4 linked regions of the Arabidopsis thaliana genome follow. The protein of the gene in region 3 purifies or fractionates together with the protein of the main gene of each other region. This does not show direct contact. Each region holds a gene or a part of one and is shown on either strand. Other genes may lie near its edges. The genes, in order: MCM4, MCM3, ETG1 and PRL.

Region 1 (7,044 bases), 9.8 Mb from region 3:
GACAACTATGTATCTTGATCAATTTTGTACAGTCTGTCTCAAATTCCTGATATAATTAATCCCCTGAGAAGCAGTAGCCTAAAAGAAAATAATATTTTGACCAATTATTTGCGAGGTTAATTTATTTTCTTAATATGATAGTCATTTTGAAAAACCATTAACTCTTATGATGACAATTTTCTAAAAGGTGATTCAAAAAATAAATCAGAGTATATATTCTAAATTTTTTGTATTATTTGTGATCCGCTCCGTTTTATTTAGATCAACAAAAATTCTGATCTATATGTGTTTCCGGATTAATCAGATATCAATATCGGAAAACAAATCGAAGCATTTGCCTAACCATGTCAAAATACAATCAAGTTGACTTATACGAAGTCTAGGTGACATGAGAGAGATGGAGCACTAAGAGAGGTAAGGAGTAACGAGTTCCACGTCCTTACGAATAAGAAACGAAGAAAGTTAGAGACCAATCGTATCGTTTACTTTTTTGAACGCATGATCACTTGTCATTTTAGTCCATACCATATCTCTATCGAAATCCAATAATGTTCTCTATGTGGACCCAATTTTCAATCTTTTTATCTAACTTTCTTCTTTTGTACGATCCACCTTTTCATGCTATAAAGTTTGTAATTGCAATGCTCTAACTTTTTCAAATGATTATTCTTCGTTTTTTGTTCTTTTTAAAAATTCTTAATTATATCATATGAAGATACAAATAACTTCATCAAGTGAATAATAGTTTACGAGAATAAGACTGAAGGAAGACTATTTTTGCTATATATAAAAATTGATAAGCATGAAGATATTTTTGAATTTTGGTAGTGATCTAAAGAATACACACATTGTCTTATGTTTGGTCGAGTTGGAACGATTTTATTGATTTCTATCTCATTCGCAAGTTAGCTTTGTTGGGAGTATATTTGATCCATTTTTTTGTCAGTGCCAAAGTGATATCTAGTAACAAAATAAGTCATTACAAATTAGCAAATAGTGAGAAGATGGACCGAGCCACATCATTTGCTGGGTATCCTACTATTAATATGCTACTAAAACCATCATCAAACTCTCTAATCACAGCAATATTAAGCTTTCCTCATGAATCTGTGATTATACTCTCTTGATTCTATCACCTTCAGCTACCAGAAATCCTTCACTCGCTAGCGTCGCGACTGCTTTTCTAACCTGTTTAATGCGTCACAACAACAAATACTTTGTTATGTCTCTGTCCTTAGACCAAAAACCTTTTGATATGTAGCAAAGTGTTATAAATGACTCACATCATGAAGATGAATTTCGGTGTTTATGTTGCCTCCATGCTTCTTCAGTTCTTCAAGTAACTGCAACAACAACATTTCCATTGTACTTAAGAAACGGTTTCTCTTATTGTAAACTGATTTGCTTGCTTTTGGCATATAACAAAATTGGGAAAAAGAAAGGAGTAGTGCATGAATACCTCGGATAAGCGCATTGATGATCCTCCAATTTGCATCTTCTCCAGAGCTATGTCTCTAATTGACGACGCAAAGGTATCCCGCCTCATTCGTTCACTTGCTGACACTCCAGTATTTATCAGGTCCATGTCAATGGTCCCTTCACCAACATAAATACAGGTGTTTATTGTTAGATTGGTATTGAATGCTACTGTTTATCTTTATCCTGATGATAATAATGGGTCTGAAAGTTACTGTGAAAAAACTACCTGTGGCGTGATCCGTTGCTGATTGCTGCATTGCAACTCTGAGAAGTCGAAATGCCTCGTCCACGTCATGCTTTTCAACCTTTATCACAAAAACCATTTCAGTTGATTTAGAACGATGAAAGGAAAATGTATAATATGAGCGTTTAACTAACCCATTCGGAGAAGCGCATCCGAGCCAAGGCCTCACTAAGTCTGATCAAACTTTCAATCTGCCTAGGAGTTGCTGTTATGACCTGTGCCAAATTCAGAGCGTTTCATAGCGTTAGACTAGTCATAGCCTTTTTATGAGCCTTGGTTACGACATAGAAAAGATATTGAAGTTTCGAGGGCACACCTTTTTGCTACTGCCAGCAAACTTCCCTGCTTTTCTCAGCTCAACATATCCTCGGGTCAACTCCTCTGCAGCTTCATCTGACAGTTTAGGATGAATGTTCTTGCGGGCATAGCTAACATAAGTTGTCAGTGTAGTAATATCTATAGCTTCCTCCTGAGCACTCTGTATATTGACACAAATGATACCAATTAAGTAAGATAAAGGCAAAAAATAATTGTCTGTCAACATATCATACACACTGGGAAAATATATAATATAAGACCTCAGCGTTCTCAAAGTGAAGGGCCACAATATGCTTTGCAAGCCTTCGGTCAGTCTGCTCATCGGGCTTGTCAAGAATCAAGTAGATCAAATCGAATCTAAGAAGCAAAATGAGATTATAATTAGTAACACCAAATAGAGGAAACCATTAGCCTTTAGTAAAAATAATGTCACATTGTTGAAGGATTGCAACATACCTAGATAGCAAGGTTGGAGGAAGGTGAATATTCTCAATAACAGAAAGCCGGGGATTATAACGTGAGCCACTAGGATTTGCACAAGCCAACACAGAGGTTCTGGCATTTAGAGATGCAATAATACCAGCCTTTGCTATTGAAACAGTCTGCTGTTCCATCACCTGACAGAGAAACAATGTTCATCAGTAATGCAATCTTATTGACTAGAGACCACATTCACAGGGGGCACCCAAAAACTGTAAGCTACGACTTTGAGCAATGCTAAAAAAGAGAGAGAGGAACAAACCTCGTGTAGCATGCTCCTCGCACTGTCAGACATTTTGTCAAATTCATCAATACAGCAGATACCTCGGTCACTAAGAACAAGAGCTCCACTCTCCAAAACCTAAACAATGTAGCATTCATGTTAGCATGTCAGGTTTATGAAAACTTTGAAACACAGAATAAAAAAAAACAGCTGATAATAAAAAGATTGAAAACAATATTAGCATACAGTTTCTCCTGTCTCAGGATCTTTAGCTACATAAGCTGTTAAACCAACAGCTGAGCTCCCTCGCCCACTTGTGTAAATGCCACGGGGTGAAAGCTTATGAATGTACTGGAGCAGCTGGGACTTGCTCGTACCAGGGTCACCAACAAGTAAGATGTTGATGTCACCACGAAAATTAGCACCAGATGCTAAGTTCAAAGCATTCCCTCCAAAAAGCTTCACATTTGAAATTTGACTCAGTAAAAAGAACTAATTTTGTTTAAACCATAAGTCAGTATCAAAAGCGTTACAGTACCTGGCATAGAAGACCCTTTTTAACATCATCCAACTCCCAGATGTTTGGTGCTAGTGATCTACTAAGCCTCTCATATATATCTGGTTGTTTAGAGAGTTCCTGAAACTTCCTCAGCTGAAAAGTAACACAAATATTGGTTGGAATGGAGGGACGAATGAATAAGATACAAAACTGTAGAACCATTTTAGTTAAATAGATGAAATACCTTCTCCTCATCTAACTCGACATCTTCATCAACTCTACGCAGACTATTGTCAACATCCATAGGATCCTCAGCAGACATTCTTAACTTACTTGCTTTCTTTATGTGAAGGCAATCGATATAGGTCTGTCCTCAACATTCATAAGAAAACATAAATGACAATGTCAGAACGTAATTACAATAAAGGGAAATAACTAACAGAGGAAGAAATAAGATGACATGCCTTAAACACAGATTTCACAGTCCTGTGAGCAGGTCCCACTCGGACAGTCATTGCTCTGTAAATTCCGGTGACCTATCCAGAAAACAAGCTTTTGATTGTCAACGAAAACCATAGGAATGAATGTACTACCCTGATAGAATTACTGCTTTTATTACCTCAATTCTATCACCAGGCTTCCCATTATCAACTAGCTTATCATGCAGCAACAAGCTAACTGTGTGAGGTGTTCCTCCTTCTGGAATCTCATCAGGTGTTTCCTGAAGCCTCACAATCTGCTTATCAGCAAACCTGATACACAAAATAAAGAAGGTAAGTTACAGAAATTATAAGAATCAGACATATACTATGTCTAGAACTTACCTGCATCGGTTGTGCACTAGTGTCATGGAGTTCTTGGTCATGCACTCTTGTTTCAAGCAAGTAGGAGGCTCACTTATTTTCCCTATCAATCAAACAACATTATGAGAAACTATGCAGATACATAAAATCTGGATAAATCCAAATGACCAAATTACCTCTATCAACGATGATGGGGTCAGAGAAGTAACCACAAACAAGGCATCTAAACACAGCTTCCCTTATTTCAGGAATGATAGAGCTACTCCGAATTATCATACCTTTCAAAGAGATCATCTTCTCGATATCTAACCAACCAAACAAAACACATCCAAACATAAGCTAAGCTATTACCACTAGAGAGAACTAAGAAACCAAGAAGAACAAAAACTGAATCATACTAACCAGATGGATTGAGATTTCTCATGGAAGTAGATGTCCTGAGGTTAAAAATCCTAACTTGAACATGTTTCTCGAACAAACGATTAATCGTGGAAACAATATCCATCAGCACAATATCGAAGATAGCGAGAACTTCCAAAGGATAACGAACCATCTTGTTATACAAATCAGGATCATAATCAAACACATCAAACGCATCAACATCAATCCATTCTCCTTCAATCTCAATCACCTTCCTTATCGAAACCATATACTTCCCTTCTCTAAACAAATCATCACTATTCTCTCTAGCTTCTCTGAAATGCTTAACAAACATTTCAATCGCAGATTTAACATCTTGCACACTGATGTTAGTTCCCCAAACGAAAGTCGGAGTAGTATCGTCGCCTCCGTCTTCTTCACCGTCATCGGAAGAAGGCAGTGGCTCGTCAGTGGACATTGGCGTCCCTGGGTCTCCGCCACCACCGCCACCACCGCCACCTCCGTGTCCATTTCTTCCTTTAGATCTGGCGGCGGAAGGACGAGATGTTGGAGGAGTGGAATTGGATGATGCGAGACGTGAAGGCGGTGGTGGAGGAGTTGCGAATTGCGTGGGAGTAGAGGATCTTCCTCGCCGGCGACGGTGAAGTGCGGCGGGGGAAGAGTATGTGTTTTCGATAGGGCTTGAAACGTTTTCTCCGGGAGAAGGAGGACCTGAGGTAGTGAGATTCGTCAAAATTATGAAGCAGTTTCAGATTTAGAGAGAGGGAGAGAGATAGTACCGTCGTTGGTGTTGCCGAGAGAAGAATCAGAAGCCATGGCTGATCGGAGAATTGATTGAGAGACGGAGTGAGAGGTTTCGACGCTTTTTTAGTGAGAAGAGATGAATTAGGCGGGGACTTCACTTGATTTTGGCGCCATTATTACTGGGCTTTTAATGGACCTAATTCCTGGGCCTATTGGTCCCATTTCTTAAACCAAATGACAAAATCAATAAGATGTTAAGAACAGAGGACAGATCTCATCTATTCGCCATTCACAAGTTCAAACAAAAAACTTAGAGAAGCAACAAAGCATAAGACCCATAAAGACTGTTAACGAGAATGTTCCCTCTTTCAAAGACAGCTTACAAGACCCTTTGTTACAGAGAACCAAAAGTTTCAAAACTAAGCTAACAAGAAGTTGCATACTTTAAACATGAAGACTGAGACTAATAGAAACCAGGAATGGTAGAATTCAAGGAATGTTTTCTTCAAGTGAGTGAACGATTTTGTACAAATCCCATTTAAGTATTTAGTCCAAAGTGTCATCATGAAAATTAGTCCCATCACACACAACCGACAAACACAACAAGATATTGAAACAGAACAGAGGACAGATCTCATCCAGAAGAAACCATGCTGAAATTCAAAGAATAGATACTCAGATTAAGACAGAGAACTAAGAGAAACTGCAACACCTTGTTCTTGAGACCAAACAAAATGAAGGATACATATAAAGCTCGTTCAAAAGAGAAAAAAAAAACAGTAAACATAGATAATGTTGATTTAAAAAAAAAACGCATAAGTAAGAGCATAAAATGGCATGCCCATTGCTTTCACCTGGCTCGTCTCTATCTCCTTATCCTTGTCACTTGTCAGTCTTCTTCTCCTTGTCCCTTCTCAGTCTGACTCTTAATCTGAATCATAATATTCTGGCTCGACCAATGGAGGATGGACTGACTTGAGTTGTTTTAAATCGTAAACATTGAGATCCTCTACGTGGTTTACAAAGGTGCAAACGTCACAAGATTTCGTAACGGCTTCACCAAAACCTTGAATTTCAACACGTTGGAGACTGTTCCTTTCGGGATTGAAGTAAAACACATAAAACGGTTGTTTAGGATTACACTTGCGCATCGAAAACACTATTTCACCCGAAGCAGTCACTCCAGCGATGGATACCAAACGACGGAAGAACTTTTCATCGGTCCAAGTGTAGGCATGTTTCGACCATTCCTGTTTCTCAACATCCGCTAGAATCCACACACACAACTCATTAGTGGCATCAGCGTTGACATTATTCTCCACATATTCCTCGACATCTATACCCTTTTTGTAATAAAGCTCTTGAATGTCGACATCATCCTCCCAATAAATCACAGCTAATTTGCCCTTGTAGTTTATCAATCGACAAAACCTTTTTACGTCAATAAAGGTGAATTTTTCAGACCTAACATCAAAGCAAACTATCATATAACCAGACGTTACGTGATTACCATTAACGCGACTCCAATCCGACGTGTCACCTAAGTAATACAAAACCCCATTGATACATACCCCTTCACTCTTAATATCATGTCGCAATGAACATTTTATCCTTCTCCACTTCAGATCTCCAGCTCCAAATGTAATAACTCTACTATGACCAGGACCAGATGGATAAACCATGGACAATGCCTTGTATTGCTTGTCAATTGGGTCAAACCCGAAAAAGCTAAACGCCTTTCTGTAAGTATACCGATTAGGTAAGATGGCATACCGTCCTGTAGTGGGGTTACATATTAGAGGTCTAGCCCGGCCTCGATTACCATAGATATAGATCAAGCCAAAGGCATAACCAATTGAAAAATATTTTAGGT
Region 2 (7,085 bases), on a different chromosome or scaffold from region 3:
TGTAATCGTACGTCTTGGTGATTTAATTATATAAAAATATTAAACACGGCCACAAAAGTCTTCACTAATCAGTTTCACTATTGTTTCAGACACAACTTGACGGATATTTCCAATTTGATGTCTTAATCATCTTTTGTACAAGGTCATAAGCAAATGTTTCATAGCCTCTAATGTCTTATCCCCTTACATTACTACACATACGTCTCACTTTATGATTACTTTAAGAATTTAGAATTCTTAGAGTGGAGACAAGTTTCTCTTGCTCATGGCCTTAACATTTCTGAGAAGCTCTGGTCTGAATCAGAGACATGTATGGCCTAACTACGTAAGTTTATTTAGTAACTCAATTGTTTTGACTAGGGTTGATAGAGAAACGTGTGCAGTAACCTACCAAAATAGATTTTGTTATTTGGCAACAAAAAAAAAAATAGATTTTGTTGTATTACTCTGTATACCAAAACTGATTTCAATCCGTCTTTGTGGAATTTAACCTGATTATATGTACAATTTTAGAAACGTATAGGATCCATCATGGACAAAGCAAACATGTTTTGGAAAAAAAAAAAAAAAGTAATAGAGACCAAATGGAAAAACATGGATCTTTTAGACGAGAGAGTTCCAAGGTAGTGATTATTAGGGTTTTGAAGTTGGCTTATATATGGCACAACTCTATTCTTACCATTGGGTTAAAACAACATATACACTATAATCTTGATGTCGATTACATATGTATAAAATTTGGCATAAACAGCTCAAGAAATTATAGGATAAATATGAAAGTATTTTATTCTCGGATTGTGCTTTTCGTTATAAATTCCAAATTTTATAATCAGATGCGTTTTTTTAAGCATTTTATCATCAGTTTTACTTCACTAGTAAATGCAAAAAACATAACGTATGAATAAAGATTTTACAAAATGATATTTTGGTTTCCAAGAGTTTACTACTACACTATTTTTGAGTTCTAATATGATGATGATGATGCAATCAATATTGATTTCTTCATATGATCAAATGATATGAACTTTGCCATCGCTGATCATCACTTTGTTATCATCTTGCAGTTTCTGCATAAAATCCACAATAGAGTAAAGTTATGAAGATATTGTATAAAAAGTTAAAGAATGAGAAAGCTTGTCTCTTAATTTGTGAATTACCTCTAAGAGAGCCATAATCTCATCTGCAGAGTAACGAGATGCTCCAACCCCATTGTTGTTGACAACAGTCTCTATATCTGCAATAGAGATGTCATCGAGCCTGTGTGTCCTCATGTGCTGCCCAAACACTCGCTCAAAGGTTTCAATCCTTGCTGCAGAGACCGTGCCGCTGAATTGCTCTACAGAAGGTTCATCTACTTCCATTGGATCTGCTGTTTCACTGAATGGACCAGCAAAAGAGAAAGAAAAAAGTATAAGGGTTGAGAAAGCTGTGATATAGGTTTCCATGGAGGAGATCAAATTAGTTTACCTGTCGACATTTGCAGTGTCATTCTCTGCTCCATCTTCATTATTCCTGCGTTGGTTGCCTCTACGTCCACTTGGTGTTCTTTCTTGTTCAGCTTGTTCCCTTTGACGTTCTTCTTGCTCACGATCATCCATCTCAGTTAATTCTTGATGATATATTGCAAAGTTCATAAGCTTCAAGGCAGCCTCTGCATCAGCTTTAGTAACCTTTCAAAATAAAGTTATCACTTTAGAAAGAATCTGAATAGAACATATTCACGACCAGGTGGGGAAACAGAAGATTTGAGTTAGATTGTTACCTCGCTACTCAACTTCATTTTGGCATGTGCCGTAGCAAGACGAATTATTGTCTCTAGAGTTCTGGCTGTTATCGGAAGCGTACCTCCAGTCTGCAGAGATTTCGATGGTTGTGTCAAATACAAGTTCCCAAGACGAAAAAGATACAGTGTCCAATGTTATTTTATGAAATAAATTACCTTAGTATCGGAACCTGCATTTCTGAGATCTGCATATGCTTCTGCAATACGTTCCGATGCCTGCAAATTTAATAACAAAAGAGATTTAGTGGAAGAGATTATCAGATACATAAAAATTTATATATTTGAGTTCACTGTCTCACTTCATCAGTGAGCTTTGGTGTAATACGGTGCTTGGCGTAATGAATGTACTTCTTCAAGAACTTAATCGTAAGGGTTTTATCATGTGTTTGGCCTCTTTTCTTCTTCCCATGTAGTGTTTGGTTATACTTAACAAACATTTCACTCTCAGCATTGTCTTCTCTCGCGTAAGGCAAGCTCCCATCTGGCCCTGCCTCACCTATGGTTCACTCAAAAGTCAGATGCGTTTCAAGACATGGGTTGTGAAATGTTTAGTAAAACATAGAAGCATGATTTGTTTCCTACCTCTATCGTTCTTGTAACGATGCATGCGCAAGACATGTTCTGAAATCATGCTGTCGATACCAGCATCCATTTGATCCAACACAATAAACAGTAGATCAAAACGAGAAAGCAGCGAATCTGGAAGTCCAATGTTCTTTGTTGGAGTCAGTGATCTGTCATACTGCAGGAGCAAGAGTAGGTATTAGGACAAAAAAATACTAGTCAGTAGAGTAAGTAGATTAGGAAAACTTCGGTGAGAACTTACAGTTCCGTATATGGGATTTGCAGCTGCAACCACACTGCATCTAGCATTCAGTGATGCATGGATACCGGCTTTTGCAATTGTTACAGTCTGTTGCTCCATCACTTCGTGTATAGCAACTCGGTCCTGATCATTCATCTTATCAAACTCGTCAATGCACACGATACCTTTATCAGCGAGGACCATTGCACCAGCTTCTAGTCTTCGTTCCCCTGATGAAAATGAGAATTTGATTTTAATGAGAAATAGCACTTTTGACCTTCCTTCAAATTTTGATTTTAGCATTTGATAAAAAAATGTGGAAACGCTTTTGTGTGCTTTTTACCTGTTTCTTGGTCAGAAGTCACAGCAGCAGTTAACCCAACACCGGAAGAACCACGGCCTGTGGTTGATATAGCCAAAGGTGCAATATTCATTATCGCTCTCAGAAGTTGAGATTTGGCAACAGATGGATCACCAACCATCATCATGTTGATGTCTCTGAAAGCACAAGATTTGTTTTCAAGTGAAGAAAGAAAAATGAGTTAGACAAAAAGTATCCAATGAGTCGAATCTGAAATCTGTTTTCAAGCAAGACTTACCCCCTCAAGTGGGTTCCGTTCTTCAGGTTCTTTTCAACACCACCAAGCATCAGTAAAACTACTGCTTTCTTTATCCAAGCGTGCCCATAAATAGAAGGTGCTAAGGAACGAGCAAGGAGATCAAATGCATCATCTCTTCGTGCAATATTTTTAATGTTATCTAGGTCTTGCTTAGTGTATATAGGTGCATTTGCTTCTTTATTGAGCAGAGCGATATTATTGGCTATGAGGATAGTCCTACACAGAAAGAACTCGGTCAAGACTATCAGAGTGAAAACATCTTGAACTAACAGATGTGTAAGAAAACGCACCTAAAGACTCCATTTACACTACCCTTGCTTTTTCCAGGAAGAGCTTTGTAAATACCGAAAACAGATACTCGATCTCCTGGCTTGCATGAGTCAACAAGGTCATCCTCAGCAATGACATCAACGCTTCGTGGAAGCTGACCAGGAGCAGCATTTTCAGGCACTTCTTGAATTGACAAGGTCTGGTGATCTTTGTATTTGCACAGCCCATACTCAGTCACCAATAAGTTTCCCTTATCATCCTGAACAAAAAAAAACTCAATCTTCAGTAAGAGGCAAATCTTCCAGCAGTACAGGTAAATGAACAAAACGAAAACAAAAAACATGTAATTACCCTTGTGGGATAGACAGAGCCAGTGGGTAAACCAGCGTGAGATGTTATGTCTCGATAATCTCGATTGGTAAATTCACCGGTTGATGGACAAAAGTGAACGCTTTTAACAACCTTTGGCCTCACAAGAGAGCCTGAAAGCAAAGCATGTGTCAGAGGTTCAAAATCTTCTACGTAAAACACAAAGGAAACAGAAGAAAAGCAGAGGAATAGAGTGAAAATGATGAGCTTACATTTGGTGACAATGCCCTCAACACAGACCATAGATCCAATAAAATCAGAGAGAAGCTCTCTAGGAGTAACAACGCGAGAAACAAAATAACCTTCAAAACCAACAAGGACAAGCTCTCCTTCCTTCAAGTATTTAGGGTCAATAGCACGAGTAGCTTCAGTGGCTGCGTCACAAAATGACTGCATATACTCATTTGGATTCTTCAGTATCCTATCCAAAAAAACCAAAGCAATCAACTTTAAGGTCACAAAACATATGACAATTGTAGTGAATCCTTAAAAATCCCCAAATTAACCTCACTGAATCTAACAAAACCCTAAAATCTGCCGTAAATTCATAACCTTATACTAAAGAACCGATTAAAAATTCGAGGAAGACAAATTGAGAAGATGACGAACCTAGAGGCAACTTCCCTGAAGTGGTGGTGAATGTCAGAGATATTAATAATGAGACGGTGACGCTTTTGATGTACCAAAGCCTTGATTTCCTCCATATACATCTACACAATCCGTAAAAAAAATCCAATTTTTCAAATTAGATAAGAACAGAAGCTCGAGAAATGTCTGGTGAGAAAAGTGATAGAAATCGACTTACACTATCGAGGAACTGGATAAAATCTCGCTTGTGGCGAAGCCTCGTCTCCTCTGGCACATCCATTTCTTAACAAAATCTGGGTTCTTCGTAAGAACTTTTCTTCTTCTACTTAAAAAAAAAAAACTGATTAGAGATTTTCGATTTCCGATTTCGAGAGGCATAAAGGGCGGATCTTCTCCTTATGGCGGGATTTCGTGAGATAACCTGTACCCTTTTTGGCGGGAAGGGTCATTTTGGGCCGATATTAGTTGGGCCTTTCGTCTACGTGCTTTTTGATTAACCAAATTTGGGCCGGTACAATTTTGGACTTACGTCTACGCGCTTGTTTGGCGCGTTTGATTTCCTCAAGGCGGTATAATACACCCAGATTCTAAACCAAAAACCAGACATACCAAATCAATTCATTGTAAATTCGGTTTAACTTTTGCTACTGCCTTCAAGCCAGTAAACCGAAAAATGTATATATGAAAACCAAAATAAACCTGTGTGATTTGAGAACATTTTCGGATGTATCACAACATATGTATAACTGAAAAAAAATTCAGTATAAATCTAATTTCTTCGAATGTAAAAACACGACAAGAATTGTTGAGAAATAAAAGATGAGAATCCCCTAATTGGATTATTCTGACAATAACACCGTTACTACAAGATTCTCTCAGTTTCTGTTTTTATAAATTACGCAAATATGGAACGAACTAAGATACACAACATTCCGCAGACAAGAGAGAGAACAAACAAAATCTGAAATCTCAGCAACCGTAAGAAACGGGGAATGAAAGAACCGCAAAAGGCCAGAGGAAGAGCTCCAACTTGTGAACCAAGAAGCTGCAAGTGGTGGTGATGGATGATGATAGTAACCGATAGGGCAGAGAATCTAAAAGGTATGAAGAAATCAGGGTTTGAAGGCAGAGAAGGCGACTACCGAGTTGTGTCCACCGAACCCGAACGAGTTTGATATGGCTGCAGCAAAACAGAAAGACATTAATCAGTGAAACTGTTGCCAGTTTAATCCAATGAGAAGGCGGTCATGTTTGTCACTTACCAACATCAACCTCGTGTTGCTTCTTCTCGTTTGGGACCGTGTCAAAGTCCACAGCTTGTTCTGGGTTCTACAATGAGAAAACAAAGAGTGTGAGAGTCTAATACAATGACCAAGTTCAAATCTTGCAACAGTTCAAACTGAAAGCGGAATCAAAGAAGCCTTTTCTTGACTTCCTGTTATACGTACAAATTGGTTGATGGAAGGATGCAGCCATCCAGTGTTGATAGCCTTCACGGTGGCGATGGCTTCTAGACCTCCAGCTGCACCGAGGCAGTGACCTATCATAGACTGTAACAGAAACTGTCATTCACAGGAAATGCAAAGCAAACAAATACATTGAAATAGAGGAGAAGAAGAACACTCAATCATAGAGCATTGGGGACGAACCTTGGTGGCGTTGATTTTGATCCCTGAAGTGCTCTTGAATACCTTTTTAATGGCATTAATCTCAGCAAGATCACCAGCAAGAGTGGAAGTTGCATGTGCATTGATGTAATTTACCTGAAAAACGTGGAATGAATATAAGTAGGGAAGTAACACGAATCTAATGAAGAAATTTGTTTCAGATAGCCTTAAAACTTAGGAAGCATGAAAAGTTTGTGTTTTTTACCTCCTCAGGTGATACACCAGCATCTTCCAGGCATCTTTCAATGCATGAAGAAACCCCAAGACCATCAGCTCTTGGATCAGTCATATGGTGAGCATCACAATTAACAGCACCTCCAAGATATTCTGCTACAATTGGAGCACCACGTTTCATTGCATGTTCCAAGCTTTCCATCACCTATTAGGGCATACAACAATTAGTGGGTCTCTCCAAAACAAAATGTCACATGTATGAGCCAATCTCATGGTGAGATAAACCAACTTTGAAAATGTAGTACAATTCAAGTGCAAGGAAACTTCCAGAGCTAATAGACTAGGGAACACAAGTTTCATCAGATTCTATAAACTAAGACCAAAACAGGCTCTTATATACAATTCAAAACAGAGCAAGCCAAATGTATGTAGATTCATAGTATCAATGAGAGATTAAGAATTTGTGAAACATACCAGAACACCAGCTCCTTCACCCATAACAAACCCATCTCTTGCTTTATCCCACGGCCTGGAAGCAGTTTGAGGGTCATCATTTCTCTGGGACAATGCCCTACAAGCAACAAAACCTCCCAACCCAATAGGAATAATAGCAGCCTCAGTCCCACCAGCAATCATCATATCAGCTTCACCACGACGAATGTGATTCGCAGCAGCGTAAAAGCAGTAATTCGAAGTAGCACAAGCAGTTGAAATCGAATAGTTAGGACCCATAAGACCAAGATCAATCGCCAACAAAGCAGAACCCATATTTGTTATAGCATAAGGTATAAAAAATGGACTAATCCTCC
Region 3 (6,714 bases):
TATCTCCGGTATGTATGCTTCTGTGTTTGTAGACAGATATTCCAGTGTCCAATTGCTAGTTAAAAGAGTTTTCTAATCTTTTCTTTTTCTTGTATGTAGTTTTCTCTGCTGTGTCAGGTCTTGAGCTGAATATGTCTAAAGAACATCACCAATGTAAGTACACAAAGACTGGGTAGTGTTAGTTTTTGCTACTTGAGTTCTGATGAATGATGGCTTCCTTTGTTGTTCAAACGTGCAGATGCAGTAATTCCTATTACCTGCTTCATACTAGTCTGCCTTTTCTCGCTTCAGCATTTTGGGACACATCGTGTTGGGTTTGTTTTCGCGCCTATTGTCCTCACTTGGCTGCTCTGTATAAGTGGTATTGGCTTGTACAATATAATACAGTGGAATCCTCATATATACAAAGCTCTTTCTCCTACATACATGTTCATGTTCTTGAGAAAGACGAGAGTAAGCGGATGGATGTCTCTAGGCGGGATCTTGTTGTGCATAACTGGTGAGATATATAAGAAATCGATATTGTTAATGTCGCCATAAATAATGTCAGTAATCTAACTCGTTGAGTCTTTGTTTTAGGTGCTGAGGCCATGTTTGCTGATCTTGGTCACTTCAATTACGCAGCAATTCAGGTTAGTTTCTACTTTAGCTTGGATGATTTACTTATTGTTATATCGCCACAGGTTTCAATAAATCTTTGTTTTGTTTGCTGTAGATTGCGTTTACCTTCCTGGTTTATCCGGCTCTTATATTGGCATACATGGGGCAAGCTGCTTACTTATCCCGGCATCACCATTCTGCTCATGCAATTGGGTTTTACGTCTCTGTACCAAGTCAGTAATTTGCCTTACTTCAAGAACTCAATTTTTTTTTGGTGTTGATCATTGAAAACGTAATCTGATCTTTTGTTTATATAACTCCATGGTTTTGAACAGAATGTTTGCACTGGCCTGTGCTTGCTGTAGCAATTCTTGCTTCTGTTGTGGGAAGCCAAGCGATCATCAGTGGGACTTTCTCAATCATAAACCAGAGCCAGTCTCTCGGATGCTTCCCTCGAGTCAAAGTCATTCACACGTCCGATAAGATGCATGGTCAGATTTACATACCGGAGATTAACTGGATGCTCATGATTCTCTGCATCGCTGTTACTATCGGGTTTAGAGATGTCAAACACCTGGGAAATGCATCAGGTATGAGATTCTTTTATCAACTCAAGAATTTTGGATTCTTCGACTTTGAGATTATATTCCTTTGTGGTTGGTTGCAGGTTTGGCTGTAATGGCGGTTATGCTAGTGACAACATGTCTTACCTCATTAGTCATTGTTCTTTGCTGGCACAAGCCTCCAATTCTAGCGCTAGCGTTCCTTCTCTTTTTCGGTTCAATAGAACTTCTCTACTTCTCGGCCTCACTCACCAAATTTCGTGAAGGCGCTTGGCTTCCGATCCTCTTATCTCTAATATTCATGATCATCATGTTCGTTTGGCACTACACCACCATTAAGAAATACGAGTTTGATCTCCAGAATAAAGTCTCGCTTGAATGGCTTCTTGCATTGGGTCCAAGCCTCGGAATTTCTCGAGTTCCAGGTATCGGTTTAGTCTTCACGGATTTAACCTCTGGAATCCCCGCCAATTTCTCCCGGTTCGTCACCAACCTCCCTGCCTTCCACCGTGTTCTTGTCTTTGTCTGCGTGAAATCTGTCCCTGTCCCGTTCGTTCCACCTGCTGAGAGATACCTCGTGGGTCGTGTTGGTCCCGTTGACCACCGCTCTTACAGATGCATCGTTCGGTATGGATACCGTGACGTCCATCAAGACGTGGACTCATTCGAAACAGAGCTCGTAAGCAAGCTGGCGGATTTCATCCGTTACGATTGGCACAAAAGAACACAACAAGAAGACGACAACGCTCGTTCTGTCCAGTCCAACGAATCCTCAAGCGAGTCAAGACTAGCCGTGATCGGAACAGTAGCTTACGAGATCGAAGACAATCTCCAACCAGAGAGTGTCTCCATCGGATTCTCCACAGTCGAAAGCATGGAAGACGTCATACAAATGGCCGAACCAGCCCCAACCGCCACCATAAGACGGGTGAGGTTTGCGGTTGAGGAAAACAGTTACGAGGACGAAGGATCAACATCGTCAGCAGAAGCAGATGCGGAACTGAGAAGCGAGCTGAGGGATTTGCTGGCAGCGCAAGAAGCAGGAACTGCGTTTATATTGGGACATTCACATGTGAAAGCGAAACAAGGATCATCGGTGATGAAGAGATTAGCAGTTAATTTCGGTTATAATTTCTTGAGAAGGAACTGTAGAGGACCTGACGTGGCTCTTAAGGTTCCACCTGTTTCTCTTTTAGAAGTCGGCATGGTTTATGTTGTTTGACTTATGAAAAAACTAAATATATGAAAACCTAATTCCTCTGTTGTAAATTCGTCATGTTTAGCTTCATAGATCTCTGTTTCTGTGTTTGTGAGTCTGGGGTTTGACTTTTAACAAATCTTAAGACCAAGATGGTCAGAGGATCATATATGCCAAATGAATTAGTTTATTATACACATGAAACGACATCGTATGGAGAGGGGTCCAAAACGGTGCGTTGGAAGTTGGAGAATGGGCATGGATAATGGCGGGAATAACCTAGGAGATATGGCGGGAAAGGCCCAACTATACACACTTGACATTGCCCTTAATTCGTGTTTGAGCAAAGACTCAATCTTTCATCTCTAGATTCTTGGCGATTCTCGCTACATAGTACTTTGGTAAAGAGTGAAATCAAAGGTTGGTTTTGAGATATGGGAGGACCAGCTTACGATTGTCTGACCAACCCTTTAGGAGCCGTCCGATTCTCCTTCGTAAATGCTCTGTCTTCAGGCTACGATCCGGCTTCGTCTGTCGGAAAAGACTGGGGTGTCGTTGATTTGTTCCGTCACTACTTCTCCGACGAATCTGCTATCTCCCAGGTTTGCCCTAAAACCTTTACTCTGTTTCTATTTTTTTTTGGGTTTAGGGCAATTGAGTATGTTTTGATTAATTACTACCCAATTAGCATAATAGGTTGATTTTTTCGTGTACTTTGGCTCTGTTTCTAAGTAAATCAGCTTACTTTAGGTTTTAGTCTATCCATAGATTGGTTAATTTGGGTTTTTTCAAGGATCTGTTTTGAGATATTTTTCTTAATTAACCGATAGTGTTTTCTTTTGTCTACTAGGTTCCAATTCTTGATTCGTCAAGTATTAAGTGGGTGCAACCCAAGACTCTTGTTCGGTTTCGTGGAATGATACAGGACATGCTTGGGAATGAATTCTATGCTGGTGCTTACAAGGTAGGAATATGACTTTTGATGGTTTCTACTAAAGAAGAATTCAATCTTTATCTATCAGTAACTGTTTCTGTTTTTACGTTCTGTTTAGGATGATTCAACATGGAGAACAAACAAGTACAGTGATGTTTCACAGTTTCCTGAGGGTTCTTCCACTGAAATTCAAGTTTGGGAGCGTCGCTTGCTTTACTGTGTTCCAGTATGTTTTGTCTCATGCGGATCTTTCTTTTTTGTTGTTGGTCTCTCATATATGTTTAAACATAATAACACTTGATTGCAATGTTTAGGTTCCGGGAAAAAACCAGTGGACTGAATGTTCTTCACAAGAGCTAAAAAACCGGTTTTTGGATCTAACTGGCCAAAACAGGGAAAAGCGTGTGAGGGTGGATGAAGAAATGACTGATTCCATGGACTCCAGTGTAAGCAACTTAGGTTCTCATGTTTGCTTTATATGAAACTGATTTTGTTGTAGCAACATCTATTGGTGTTGTTTGTCAATAACTTATTTTAGCCACCATTGCAGACTTTAGAAGCTGGGCGTAATGGTTCTCCTTTTAAGAAAATGGTAAGGATCTCTAGTCTCTTAAGTCTTTCTTCAAAGTCTTTATGAGTCTAACACTATAAGCTACAAAGTTGTGGAAAAAACCATATATTATAAACTTTTCTTTACTGTTACTGGGAAGAATCATGAGACATTGAGATTTTGGCTGATGAAGAATTTCTGATTAATACTGTTTTTTATGTTCATCAGAAAGTGGGGGAAGCTACTTCATCAGCTTCAGAATCTCAGGTTCCACAAACTTCTGGTATTCCGCCTGCTACAAGTGCAGATTCTCTGCCTTGTCTTGTCAAGGTAAATATATGTTTACATTGTTCTTTATATTACCTGTTAACATGTGTATACAAAAGCAGCAAAGACTAGTCTGTTGACAAGATTCTTATGCGGCCACGCAGATCTATGATTCTCCAGAGTCAGATTTGAAGCTAAATGATGTGGTTGAATTTCTTGGAGTGTTGACCTTCGATCCAATTGTTATGATGGATACAGATACACTTGATGAAAACTCTGATGCTCTTTCTGAAGCTGAATCTGTTCAGATGCCCTCTGGAAAGGTCCCACGCCTCCATTGTCTTATCCATAGAAAGCTTGAAACACAGCATTTCCTGCATGGTTCTTCGTTATTACCAGAGGCAAGTATCATCGATTTAGAAAATATACCTCTCATACCTATTCGTGTTTTGAAATTTGTTTTAAATCTCTTGTTACTTTCCATTTAGCAGCCAAAATCCCCCCAAATATTCAAAGAGATAAGAGAGAGTTTGATGAAGTACCTTACCGGTCTACTTGGGAATGATCACATTGCCGCACAGTTCCTATTATTGCATCTCCTGTCAAAGGTAATTAGTTGAAAAAGGATCACTTGTTTTTATTCTCAGCTATTACTGCTACGGCCTTCTATATTCATATGTTTTTTTTCTCCTTTACAGGTGCATGGAAGAGTAGATAATGTTGCTGTTGGGAAGCTTTCTCTTAATCTCATACACCTTAATAAAGAAAGCATGTCTATCTTCGGTACCCAGCTCAGTGGTGCCCTCAAAAGCCTCCTACCGTTCACACAATCTATACCACTTACTATTGAGTATCTGAACACTGCCTCGTTCGGTCCCAAGAAAGACTATGGAATCAACAGGTAAGAATCCAGTTCTACGAAATCTTAACAATGGTTTTGAATCATTCTTCTCTTGAAAGACCTGCAATTATATTGTTTTTATGACTCAGATTGATGCCTGGAGTTCTACAAATTGCTGATGGTACGCACTTGATATTGGATGAAACAGAGTTGCAACCAGGCACCTTGAACTCTGTTGGAGTTGAGAATGCAAATCTGCTTAAAAACCTCTTGGAATGTCAGAAGGTAGGGCAACGTCATTATTCACTTTTAATCAGATTCAAATATGAATATGGAATCTGCTGCTATTTCAGGTTGAGTATGATTTCCAATATTACAAAATGGAAATGGCCACTGATGTTCAAATGCTCATATTCTCCGAGGGAAAGTCGAACATAATGCCCGCCGATTTGGTTCTACCTCTTCAACCTTCTCAAGTGAATTCATTGGAAGTCATCACACCAGAAACAGCTGAAACTTGGAGGTGCTACTTAGCTACTTGCAAATCATTATCACACTCCATTGGGCAAGAGTTGCAACAGGTATGTATATATCTATTGCATTAATGTTAGAATCTGCCAATCTGGTACTTCTAAAGAAATCCATTGTTTTCAGACTTTTGACTAATATTTTCTGCAAATTTTTGTTGCAGGTGGTGGAGAATGATTTGGTTGCAGCTAGACAAACAGATCGTAGTTTAGGCAGCCAAGACTTGAGCAGGTACAAAAGCCCTCCTTAGGGTTTATCCTTGTCAAATATGTGCAAAACTTACAATTATGTTGTTTGGTTCCACAGATTGTTGACAATGGCTCGTATGATGTCTGTGAGTTATGGTGAGACTACGCTTTCACTAGAGCACTGGCAAATGGTGTTGGAACTAGAAAGACTTAGAAAGGAGAGGCTCAAGTAAAACCACCGTAACGAACAAGATGTATTATGGTTTCGAGACTATTTGGATATTGTAATTTTCACTAAGTTATCTGAGTAAGAAGAACCATATCGTTTCATTTCCTATCTATTTATTAAGGTTCAACTTTTGAGCTATTGACTGGTAATGGAAAATGTTTGAGAAAGAAGAAAACTTGGAGACTTCAAACCCATTCCGGTTAATTTTCATCGTTGATCTGACATGGTAAATACTGAATAAAGCACATGCACACTGTGACACCTCTACTTTAAAAAGTACCAAATAGATAAACTGACTAGAAGATTATTTTCTTGTGATGCAAGTAAGAAACAAACTCAACCAATCGACCTTACTAAAGTATACTCTTCTATAAAATAAAGAAATTTCTTCTCCCCCGTATGTAAATTGAAATCACCAGATGGAAGTCTTGGTATAGAGATATATCGATCTGATAATCTTATCACGGAAGAAGACTTTGGTCTCGATTGCATATCTCTCACGTACGACTCTCGTTTGTATGAATAGAAAGAACAAAGACACACACAATTTAACGAGTTCCCAAGGTCAAACCGATCCTTGGTACATCTCGGCTAGGCTTTGCCATAGCAAATTCACTATCCAGTTTTTTTTTTCTTTTTTTTATACATATGTACACAAGAGAGATAGAGAGAGGATTAGGTCAAAAGAAGCTTCGAGAAACTTGGAATCAACGACCTAGATATCTCCTTGTTGTCTTCTGTTGTTGGCGATGGAAGTCCTTGTGTAATAAAAGGATGTTTCAAGAGCTCAGTCGCGGTGGGCCTGCGTGAACGCAT
Region 4 (7,757 bases), on a different chromosome or scaffold from region 3:
GAGACGGAGCCATCGGAGAGTGGAATAAAGCGCACAGAGAGTGAGAGAGAAGGGGAGTGAAACAGTCGGCGAAGAGAGCGAGATTGATGAGAGAAGCTTATTATGGAGTGAAGAGATTGCGCGGGAATTTTTCACCGGGAAAATACGCCGGCGAAAGTTGCTAATTGGCGGGAAACAACGCTCTAGTAATAATACTCGCTCTCTCTCTGTGCCATCTCGAAAATCGAATTATTCATGCCGTTAAAAGCTTATGGAGTGAGTGAGATATTGCAACGACGTAAATGGGCTTTGCTCTGTATTAATGGGCTTAAAAGTATAATAATATGGCCCATTAATTCTTAAACCGATCCAGAACCGATCTGTTATGTTACTAAACCGAAAATTGTTCTGTTTTCCAAAATTGTCATAAAAATCCCAAAATTCCACTTTTAGAATTTTTTTGAAAATATGTTAGCATGGTACTTACAATATTTTATGATTGTAATAATGAAATCAAATTATACCAAACTGAAAGTATATTACTGACATGGATACAAAATTAGACTAAGAAGTGTTTTAATCAAACCTAGATCAAAACCGTAGTAAATTTGCGAGAGTGAAAAGAACTGCAAGAGTACAAAGTCACATCTAAATTTCCAAAAGTAAAGTTTGTTCTGCAATCAAGAGATCACTTCTATAGATTCCACTTCTAAGGTCTCTACGTTAAGAAATGTGATAAGATAATAGAGATAAAGCACACAACATAACAAGAGAGACTTGGTTTGTTTCCATTTTTTTTTTTTGGGTGGTGTTACTCAGATAAAACGGATGTCAAAGGTGTGAGGATCAATCTGCCAAACATTCAAAGCTGCATATTCCTCCAAACACTCCTTTAGCTGAGCCTCACTGTATCCCTGTTTTCACACCCCAAATCTCTCGTCTCAGTGATCATCCATTTTCAGAAAGAACATGAAGATGAAGATGAAGGAAGAAACTAACCTTTCTGGAGATCCAGTTCAGGGCATTTGCGTAGCTCACATGGGTCTTTTTTGATCTTGCAGCTTCGTCTCTTATGATTGAGTATGTGTCTGATATTGCATCTAGTCCTGCTTTTTGTCGGTCATCAGCATACAATGATATTTTCGACATCTGCATTAGTCTAAGCGCCTCATCCACATCACTCTGTGCCACTGATTCTGAAAATCTCAACCTTGCTAATGCCTATAGAACAAATCGGAAATATATTAACACTCAATAGTCCAACTAATTTACTCAAGTTCCTACACAAATTCTACTTACAGCGGATATGCGCAGAATGCTGAGCAGTGTCCTCACTGTTGTGTAAGAATGAGGAGTATTTGATTTCGCTTCTTCTTGCCTGATGCTGGAATAAGCAGTTGCTATATATTCCTCCAACTCTGCTGGGACGTATGGTGATAATCTCCTTGCAGCTGAAATGTATGCACTAGAGAACCAAATATGCTCATGTTAAAGTTTCTGACTTTGCAGAACAAGAATGCTGTAAAAGCGATTTAACTTACCGGAGAATGTTGGGTTCCAGAGGCTCGAAACCAAGCGCAGGAGATTCTTCTGTCTGATGTACGTGAAGCACATGCTTTGCCAATTCAAGGTCACTGTCCATGTCAGCTCGATCTAAGATCAACCACAGCAGATCGAATCTTGAAAGAAGGGCCGGTGGAAGATTAATGTTTTCAGCTGGAGTTCTTCGCAAATCATATCTTCCCCTTCATAAACACAAAGATACATAGTTCAATAATGATAGCAATGATCACTCAACATTCATGAGTTTTTAATTCATATCATGAGAGTTCACTTACCAGGCTGGATTGGCTGCAGCAAGAACAGCTGTTCGAGCATTCAAAGACGTGGTAATCCCAGCTTTTGCAATGCTTACAGTTTGCTGCTCCATGACCTCATGAATAGCAGTACGATCTGATTCATCCATCTTATCAAACTCATCAATTGCACAGATTCCCATGTCAGCCAGCACCTGAGATAGAGATTGTATCAAACTTCTAAATCACATAGCTCTTACATCATATTTTCTAAAATATATCCAAAGCAAAAGGGCATTGTCTCTCACCAGTGCTCCTCCTTCTAAAACCATCTCATTTGTTACTTGATCTCTCATAACAGCGGCAGTTAGACCAACTCCACTGCTACCTTTGCCTGTTGTGTAGACTCCCCTTGGAGCAACATTTATAATGTGCTTGAGAAGCTGACTCTTGGCAACTCCAGGATCACCCATCAGACAGATATGCACATCTCCTCTAATCTGCAAAAGATAATTAATGAATGTATTGTTTTTAAATCTTCACAGATAAAATGTGTTCCAATCAAGTGCAATGTGCTCTTGAATGACTGAACATGTTTGTAAATAATAAAGCTCCATAACTCAATCAATGAAGACTGCGGACACTGTATGGAAATAGGTAAAACAATATAGTCGGAGATGAACTAAAGCAAGCAACTGCTTTCTAATCAGTGTACAGTCTTTACTCTTTATCATAATAGATAGCAATATCATGGAAATTTTGCCAGAATAAATCAGAGGACAGGAAAGTTCACCTTCATTCCATCCTTTAATTGCCTGTGAGGAGCACCCACAAGAAGGAGAAGCAAAGCTTTCTTAATATCTTCATGTCCATAAATCTCAGGGGCCAGGGATCGCGACAGCTTATTGTATATGTCACCATCCTCAGCCAAACGTGCAATCTGTTCTTCCTCATCTTTCTGAAACTCATATCTGTAGATCATAATGAAAAAGGTATAAAGATGCTTTCTGATATTGTGCACACACGAAAGCTGCTTTGTATCTTAAGCAAATGCAGAAAAACATGGAATAGGTTACTAAATCAGAATGTTTCGTTAGTGTAAAGGTGTAACAACGCCTTACTCCTCATATTTCTTCTTGAAATGAGTAACAGACGTTGCTTCCAGATAGGTGTCTGCTACTAAGCCAGCTCGAAGTGCCTTAAACCCAGTGTAAGGAATGGGAAGAAAAATCCCTGAGAACTCAACAACATCACCTGGTGATACCTACAAGGGTTTAAGGAAATTTAGTAAGAATTTCACAATTGTACGATAGTAAATGACGCTGATATCACAATATCTACAGATAGAGTCCCAGTACAACATTGGAAAAAAAAATCCTCTTAATCAACAACTGTTCAGCATATGCTTTTAAGCCGAACAACAACTTCTCATTGGACTATTCCTAAGCAACCGAGCTATTGATTCCGAAAGTAGAACAAATAGACTCCAATAGTAGCATGAGACTGAGGTCAAGAAAAGGTACCTTTCTTGTCAACTCTCCTCTTAGATGAACAGTCATAGACCTCGGAATATGCCCTTTGGGAACATGTTCAGCCAACTCTTGCATCTTGGCCTGCAAGACAATGATTTTTTACTCATTAGTTTGATATCAGTGCATTCACATAAATGGCACTCATTGACCAGAAACAGAACCTCCTGAAACTTTAGAAACTTTGATGCTCTGAGCTGAAGAATAGGATTCCCGGCTTTACTATTAAGACGACAGCGACTAGAAGGACACTTAAACAAAGGCATGAAGACTCTAGATGTAACTTCCTGATTTGACATGTAAAAGAAAATAATCAGAGTTAGTAGTTAACAAAATAAAAAAGAAACTACAATCTGGCAAAAGCATAGTTGTACCTGGTAAATCTCATGACCACAATCTTCACATGTGTAAACAGCAACCGCCATCAATGGCTTGACATCGGAACAACGGGTCACAATACCAGATATCCTAACAAGTTGCCCAATGTGTGAAGCCTTAACCTCCCTGATGGTAGATGGCCTTCCCTTTGAAGGAGCTTTAAAATAAACCTCACTGAATAAAAGTAAATTCATTAGCAAACTATTGTAAAACTCATTCCCTAAAGCTTATGTCCAGCAAATAGACTCAGACAAAACTTACTAATATCTTTTAATCTCAGAAGGAATCTGCTGATGAGGATCAGAAACATCTGGATTATCAGTCCCATCATCTGCTCTCTGAGTCATGAGAATATCATGATCATCATCTGGAAACGCTTCCGTTGGTTCGGGTAACAACTCGTCAACAGCGGCGGAGAAAATTGAAACATATCGGCGAGTGTTTTCCGTCAACCGTCCGAGAAACTCCTCACTTTCATCTTTATACTACACAATATCAAAAGAGATGAGTGGCTTCTACAATAGCAACATCCAAAACAGAAACAACATTAGAGAGAAACAAAAAAAAACTCACATTGAATAAGTCATCGAGATCGACTTGAATAGCTCGAATCTTACGATTTGAAACCTCTTGCTACACAAATTCATAAAATAGAACATAAAACCCTAAAATTAGGGAGATTCGCGAAAACCCTAGAAGAGAGAAATTGGTGGAAGATATTGGAAATGAGACTTACGAGAATCTCCATGTACTTAGATCTGCCATTAGCGTCGGCGAAATTCTCGAGAAATCCCTTGGCAAGCCCTATATACAAGAAGAAAAAAAGTGAGAATCAAAACTCAGCGAAAAAAGAGGGAAAAGATTATCGAGAACGGAGAAGAAGAGAGAATGTAACCTTTGTCGCCGTCGAAATCGTGGTCTTTCATGGTTTCAAAACTTGGGTCGAGAGAGAGAGTGGAAGAGGAAGAAGAGAAAGGAATGAACCAGTGACTGCAAAATTGGGCGGTAAAAGGGTTGTAGATGACGATGAGTTTAGGCGGGAAAAGTATTATAGAGAGAAATGGCGGGGAGTAAAATGAACGGTCCAGATCTAATGATCACGTGATTAATGTAATGTCGAAACTACCCCTGCTGGAAATAAAAAAGAAGAGGTAACAAAAAGTGTGGCTGCCGGGATTCGAGCCCGGGTCCCCACGGCCACAACGTGGGATACTAACCGCTATACTACAACCACTTTTGTGTTATTTCTTTCCCTTAGTATTTAATTAACCAAAGATTTAATAATATTATCATCTGTTTCCAAAAAATGGGTGACAAATGTGGATACAATAATGTCATCTTCATCATCCTCCTTACGTTGAAAACTAGTGTGATTTCTTCTTACACTTGTCTTAAATCCATAGCTACTATCGAAATTTGTGTGTGTGAATTTAAAGCTTTTGATTTTTTTTTTTGTTGTTGTATATTTAGTCTCTCTGTATTCGACTTTGATCAAAACTTGGTCAACATCATCTTTAACATCGCCTTCATAGTAGGCGATCAAAAAATCCATGGAATAAATAGCACACACAAGTCTGAATCATTTCCCAGTCTACAACAAATCGTTACATCTTCCTTCTTCTTTCTCCTGTAAGTCCTCTTCTTTTTTTTTTAATCTGTTTTCTTTCAACCTATGACGAAAATCATCACACTTGTCTTGATTCTTCACTTTCTGTCTGAAACCAACTTTTTTTTTTTTTTTTACTAGGAAGGATTTTGATTTCTTTTTTTTCCGAGGTGTTACTTGTTAGAACGGGATAAGATCGTAATCTTTTTTTTTATTATGAAGATGACATTTGACCAAAAAAGTATAAAACCTCTTTTTGTATTTGTTTTCTTATATAGCATTAGTATATTCTGACAATATTCCAACGAGCATTGATGATTTTTGTGGAAATAGAGATCAAAGTAGGAGGAAGACATGCAAAATCAGTATTAAATTTTTAATTTGTTATGTGAAGATAAGGTCAAGAAAATGACGTATTTACTTGTTGGAACTTAATTCCAAACAATTATGTACCAAACACGAATCCATACGCAATTATCACAAATCTCAAAGTGGCAAAACTTCACATTTAAAATTTTCCCAAAACCTAACCAAATTGAAATCTATCTAACCACGTGAAGATGTAAATGTGTATAACCCTTTTTGTTTCGTTGTCTCTCAGATTCTGGAATTTGAGTAAAAGCAAGAAAAAAAGTCAACCGTTGCAACAAACTCTTAAAAAGAAGCAAAGTAGTAGCAGAAGAAGAAGAAGAAGAAGAAGAAAAGAAAATGGCAGGAGGGTCGTTTGGTCCGACCGGTGTGGCTAAGGAGAGAGCAGAACAATACCAAGGGAAAGTCACTAGTTATGTTATAATCGCTTGCCTTGTTGCAGCTATTGGTGGATCCATCTTTGGATATGACATTGGAATCTCAGGTTCTTTTCTTCATCTTTTGAATCCAATTTCTTAATAATCTTATCAAACAATGGCTGAAATGGTTTTTTGTTTGTATGCAGGAGGAGTTACATCGATGGATGAGTTTCTTGAGGAGTTTTTCCACACGGTTTATGAGAAGAAGAAGCAAGCTCATGAAAGTAATTACTGCAAATATGATAATCAAGGCTTAGCTGCTTTCACTTCTTCACTCTACTTAGCTGGTTTGGTTTCGACTCTCGTGGCTTCACCCATCACTAGGAACTACGGTAGGCGTGCGAGTATTGTTTGTGGTGGAATCAGCTTTCTTATTGGATCTGGTTTGAATGCTGGAGCTGTGAACTTAGCTATGCTTCTTGCCGGACGGATCATGCTTGGTGTTGGTATTGGATTTGGAAATCAGGTTAGACAATTGTTTAGTTGGTGTCACCAATAATAAACCAATCTCATCTCTAATGAAAGTTACCTTGCTTTGGTTTTTGCTTTCAGGCGGTTCCTTTGTATTTATCAGAAGTGGCACCAACTCATCTACGAGGTGGTTTAAACATGATGTTTCAGCTAGCTACAACTATCGGGATCTTTACAGCGAACATGGTTAATTACGGTACTCAACAGCTTAAGCCTTGGGGATGGAGACTCTCTCTTGGTTTAGCTGCTTTTCCAGCTCTGCTTATGACGCTTGGCGGGTATTTCTTACCCGAGACACCAAACAGTTTGGTCGAAAGAGGATTAACAGAGAGAGGTCGACGAGTCTTAGTGAAGCTAAGAGGAACAGAAAACGTCAACGCCGAGCTTCAAGACATGGTAGATGCGAGTGAGCTTGCGAATTCCATCAAACATCCATTCAGAAACATCTTGCAGAAACGACACAGGCCTCAGCTAGTTATGGCTATTTGCATGCCAATGTTTCAGATACTCACAGGGATAAACTCCATTCTCTTCTACGCACCTGTTCTGTTCCAGACAATGGGGTTTGGAGGAAACGCATCTCTCTATTCATCAGCTTTAACAGGAGCTGTTCTTGTCCTATCAACATTTATTTCCATAGGATTAGTAGACAGATTGGGACGAAGAGCTCTTCTCATAACTGGAGGAATACAAATGATAATCTGTCAAGTCATAGTAGCAGTGATCTTAGGAGTGAAATTTGGAGACAACCAAGAGCTATCAAAAGGGTACTCAGTGATCGTAGTCATCTTCATCTGCCTCTTTGTTGTAGCGTTCGGATGGTCATGGGGTCCTCTAGGTTGGACCATACCTAGCGAAATCTTTCCGTTAGAGACTCGTTCAGCGGGGCAGAGTATCACAGTAGCTGTAAATCTCCTCTTCACTTTCATCATAGCTCAAGCTTTCCTTGGTCTCCTCTGTGCATTCAAGTTTGGAATCTTCCTCTTCTTTGCTGGTTGGGTGACAGTAATGACTATCTTTGTGTATTTCCTGTTGCCTGAAACCAAAGGAGTTCCAATAGAAGAGATGACACTCTTATGGAGTAAACATTGGTTCTGGAAAAAAGTATTACCTGATGCAACAAATCTTGAAGATGAGAGCAAGAATGTATCTGTTTAAAGAGAATATAAACTGATTCAAGAAACTTATGTTTGTATTACTATAAGGTTTT

Evidence for each region.
Region 1: the proteins of ETG1 (region 3) and MCM4 purify together in Arabidopsis thaliana (affinity purification with mass spectrometry, with the first as the bait; one large-scale study listed by BioGRID). This does not show direct contact.
Region 2: the proteins of ETG1 (region 3) and MCM3 purify together in Arabidopsis thaliana (affinity purification with mass spectrometry, with the first as the bait; one large-scale study listed by BioGRID). This does not show direct contact.
Region 4: the proteins of ETG1 (region 3) and PRL purify together in Arabidopsis thaliana (affinity purification with mass spectrometry, with the first as the bait; one large-scale study listed by BioGRID). This does not show direct contact.

What each region holds. Positions count from the first base shown.
Region 1 is NC_003071.7:7,125,423-7,132,466, forward strand, and holds MCM4 (Minichromosome maintenance (MCM2/3/5) family protein), read right to left. Parts: upstream 5,308-7,044; 5' UTR 5,244-5,307; coding exon 5,207-5,243; intron 5,139-5,206; coding exon 4,449-5,138; intron 4,352-4,448; coding exon 4,223-4,351; intron 4,150-4,222; coding exon 4,068-4,149; intron 3,996-4,067; coding exon 3,863-3,995; intron 3,780-3,862; coding exon 3,708-3,779; intron 3,611-3,707; coding exon 3,488-3,610; intron 3,397-3,487; coding exon 3,283-3,396; intron 3,204-3,282; coding exon 2,991-3,203; intron 2,883-2,990; coding exon 2,784-2,882; intron 2,659-2,783; coding exon 2,498-2,658; intron 2,399-2,497; coding exon 2,302-2,398; intron 2,202-2,301; coding exon 2,040-2,201; intron 1,939-2,039; coding exon 1,858-1,938; intron 1,785-1,857; coding exon 1,706-1,784; intron 1,597-1,705; coding exon 1,460-1,596; intron 1,344-1,459; coding exon 1,284-1,343; intron 1,189-1,283; coding exon 1,114-1,188; 3' UTR 857-1,113; downstream 1-856. Other genes in the region: AT2G16450 (F-box and associated interaction domains-containing protein), read right to left, coding at 6,098-7,044. UniProt on the Arabidopsis thaliana protein: Probable component of the MCM2-7 complex (MCM complex) that may function as a DNA helicase and which is essential to undergo a single round of replication initiation and elongation per cell cycle in eukaryotic cells.
Region 2 is NC_003076.8:18,768,892-18,775,976, forward strand, and holds MCM3 (Minichromosome maintenance (MCM2/3/5) family protein), read right to left. Parts: upstream 4,813-7,085; 5' UTR 4,716-4,812; coding exon 4,653-4,715; intron 4,558-4,652; coding exon 4,457-4,557; intron 4,269-4,456; coding exon 4,060-4,268; intron 3,961-4,059; coding exon 3,830-3,960; intron 3,738-3,829; coding exon 3,499-3,737; intron 3,425-3,498; coding exon 3,188-3,424; intron 3,087-3,187; coding exon 2,932-3,086; intron 2,819-2,931; coding exon 2,610-2,818; intron 2,526-2,609; coding exon 2,366-2,525; intron 2,280-2,365; coding exon 2,083-2,279; coding exon of another isoform or gene 2,071-2,082; exon of another isoform or gene 2,000-2,070; coding exon 1,940-1,999; exon of another isoform or gene 1,853-1,939; coding exon 1,763-1,852; coding exon of another isoform or gene 1,751-1,762; exon of another isoform or gene 1,671-1,750; coding exon 1,468-1,670; coding exon of another isoform or gene 1,464-1,467; exon of another isoform or gene 1,378-1,463; coding exon 1,158-1,377; intron 1,068-1,157; coding exon 1,011-1,067; 3' UTR 758-1,010; downstream 1-757. Other genes in the region: AT5G46270 (Disease resistance protein (TIR-NBS-LRR class) family), read right to left, coding at 188-199; KASI (3-ketoacyl-acyl carrier protein synthase I), read right to left, coding at 5,548-5,615, 5,698-5,764, 5,836-5,985, 6,085-6,198, 6,308-6,481, 6,751-7,085.
Region 3 is NC_003071.7:16,932,132-16,938,845, forward strand, and holds ETG1 (E2F target protein 1 (ETG1)), read left to right. Parts: upstream 1-2,489; 5' UTR 2,490-2,795; coding exon 2,796-2,963; intron 2,964-3,211; coding exon 3,212-3,325; intron 3,326-3,413; coding exon 3,414-3,521; intron 3,522-3,609; coding exon 3,610-3,741; intron 3,742-3,845; coding exon 3,846-3,887; intron 3,888-4,073; coding exon 4,074-4,175; intron 4,176-4,276; coding exon 4,277-4,513; intron 4,514-4,603; coding exon 4,604-4,720; intron 4,721-4,810; coding exon 4,811-5,013; intron 5,014-5,102; coding exon 5,103-5,238; intron 5,239-5,306; coding exon 5,307-5,534; intron 5,535-5,644; coding exon 5,645-5,712; intron 5,713-5,787; coding exon 5,788-5,902; 3' UTR 5,903-6,141; downstream 6,142-6,714. Other genes in the region: KT2 (potassium transporter 2), read left to right, coding at 1-8, 100-153, 239-499, 580-632, 716-833, 936-1,190, 1,268-2,385; AT2G40560 (Protein kinase superfamily protein), read right to left, coding at 6,574-6,714. UniProt on the Arabidopsis thaliana protein: Associated component of the MCM complex that acts as a regulator of DNA replication. Binds to the MCM complex during late S phase and may act by promoting the disassembly of the MCM complex from chromatin. Required for sister chromatid cohesion.
Region 4 is NC_003075.7:898,335-906,091, reverse strand, and holds PRL (Minichromosome maintenance (MCM2/3/5) family protein), read right to left. Parts: upstream 5,457-7,757; 5' UTR 5,409-5,456; intron 5,338-5,408; 5' UTR 5,291-5,337; exon of another isoform or gene 5,020-5,290; intron 4,917-5,019; exon of another isoform or gene 4,845-4,916; intron 4,718-4,844; exon of another isoform or gene 4,673-4,717; 5' UTR 4,609-4,672; coding exon 4,578-4,608; intron 4,487-4,577; coding exon 4,419-4,486; intron 4,316-4,418; coding exon 4,256-4,315; intron 4,168-4,255; coding exon 3,944-4,167; intron 3,857-3,943; coding exon 3,679-3,856; intron 3,592-3,678; coding exon 3,469-3,591; intron 3,389-3,468; coding exon 3,299-3,388; intron 3,040-3,298; coding exon 2,897-3,039; intron 2,747-2,896; coding exon 2,569-2,746; intron 2,276-2,568; coding exon 2,084-2,275; intron 1,991-2,083; coding exon 1,818-1,990; intron 1,725-1,817; coding exon 1,521-1,724; intron 1,445-1,520; coding exon 1,279-1,444; intron 1,201-1,278; coding exon 979-1,200; intron 894-978; coding exon 795-893; 3' UTR 501-794; and 1 more. Other genes in the region: MSH6 (MUTS homolog 6), read right to left, coding at 1-13; STP7 (sugar transporter protein 7), read left to right, coding at 5,997-6,141, 6,223-6,542, 6,629-7,705. UniProt on the Arabidopsis thaliana protein: Probable component of the MCM2-7 complex (MCM complex) that may function as a DNA helicase and which is essential to undergo a single round of replication initiation and elongation per cell cycle in eukaryotic cells.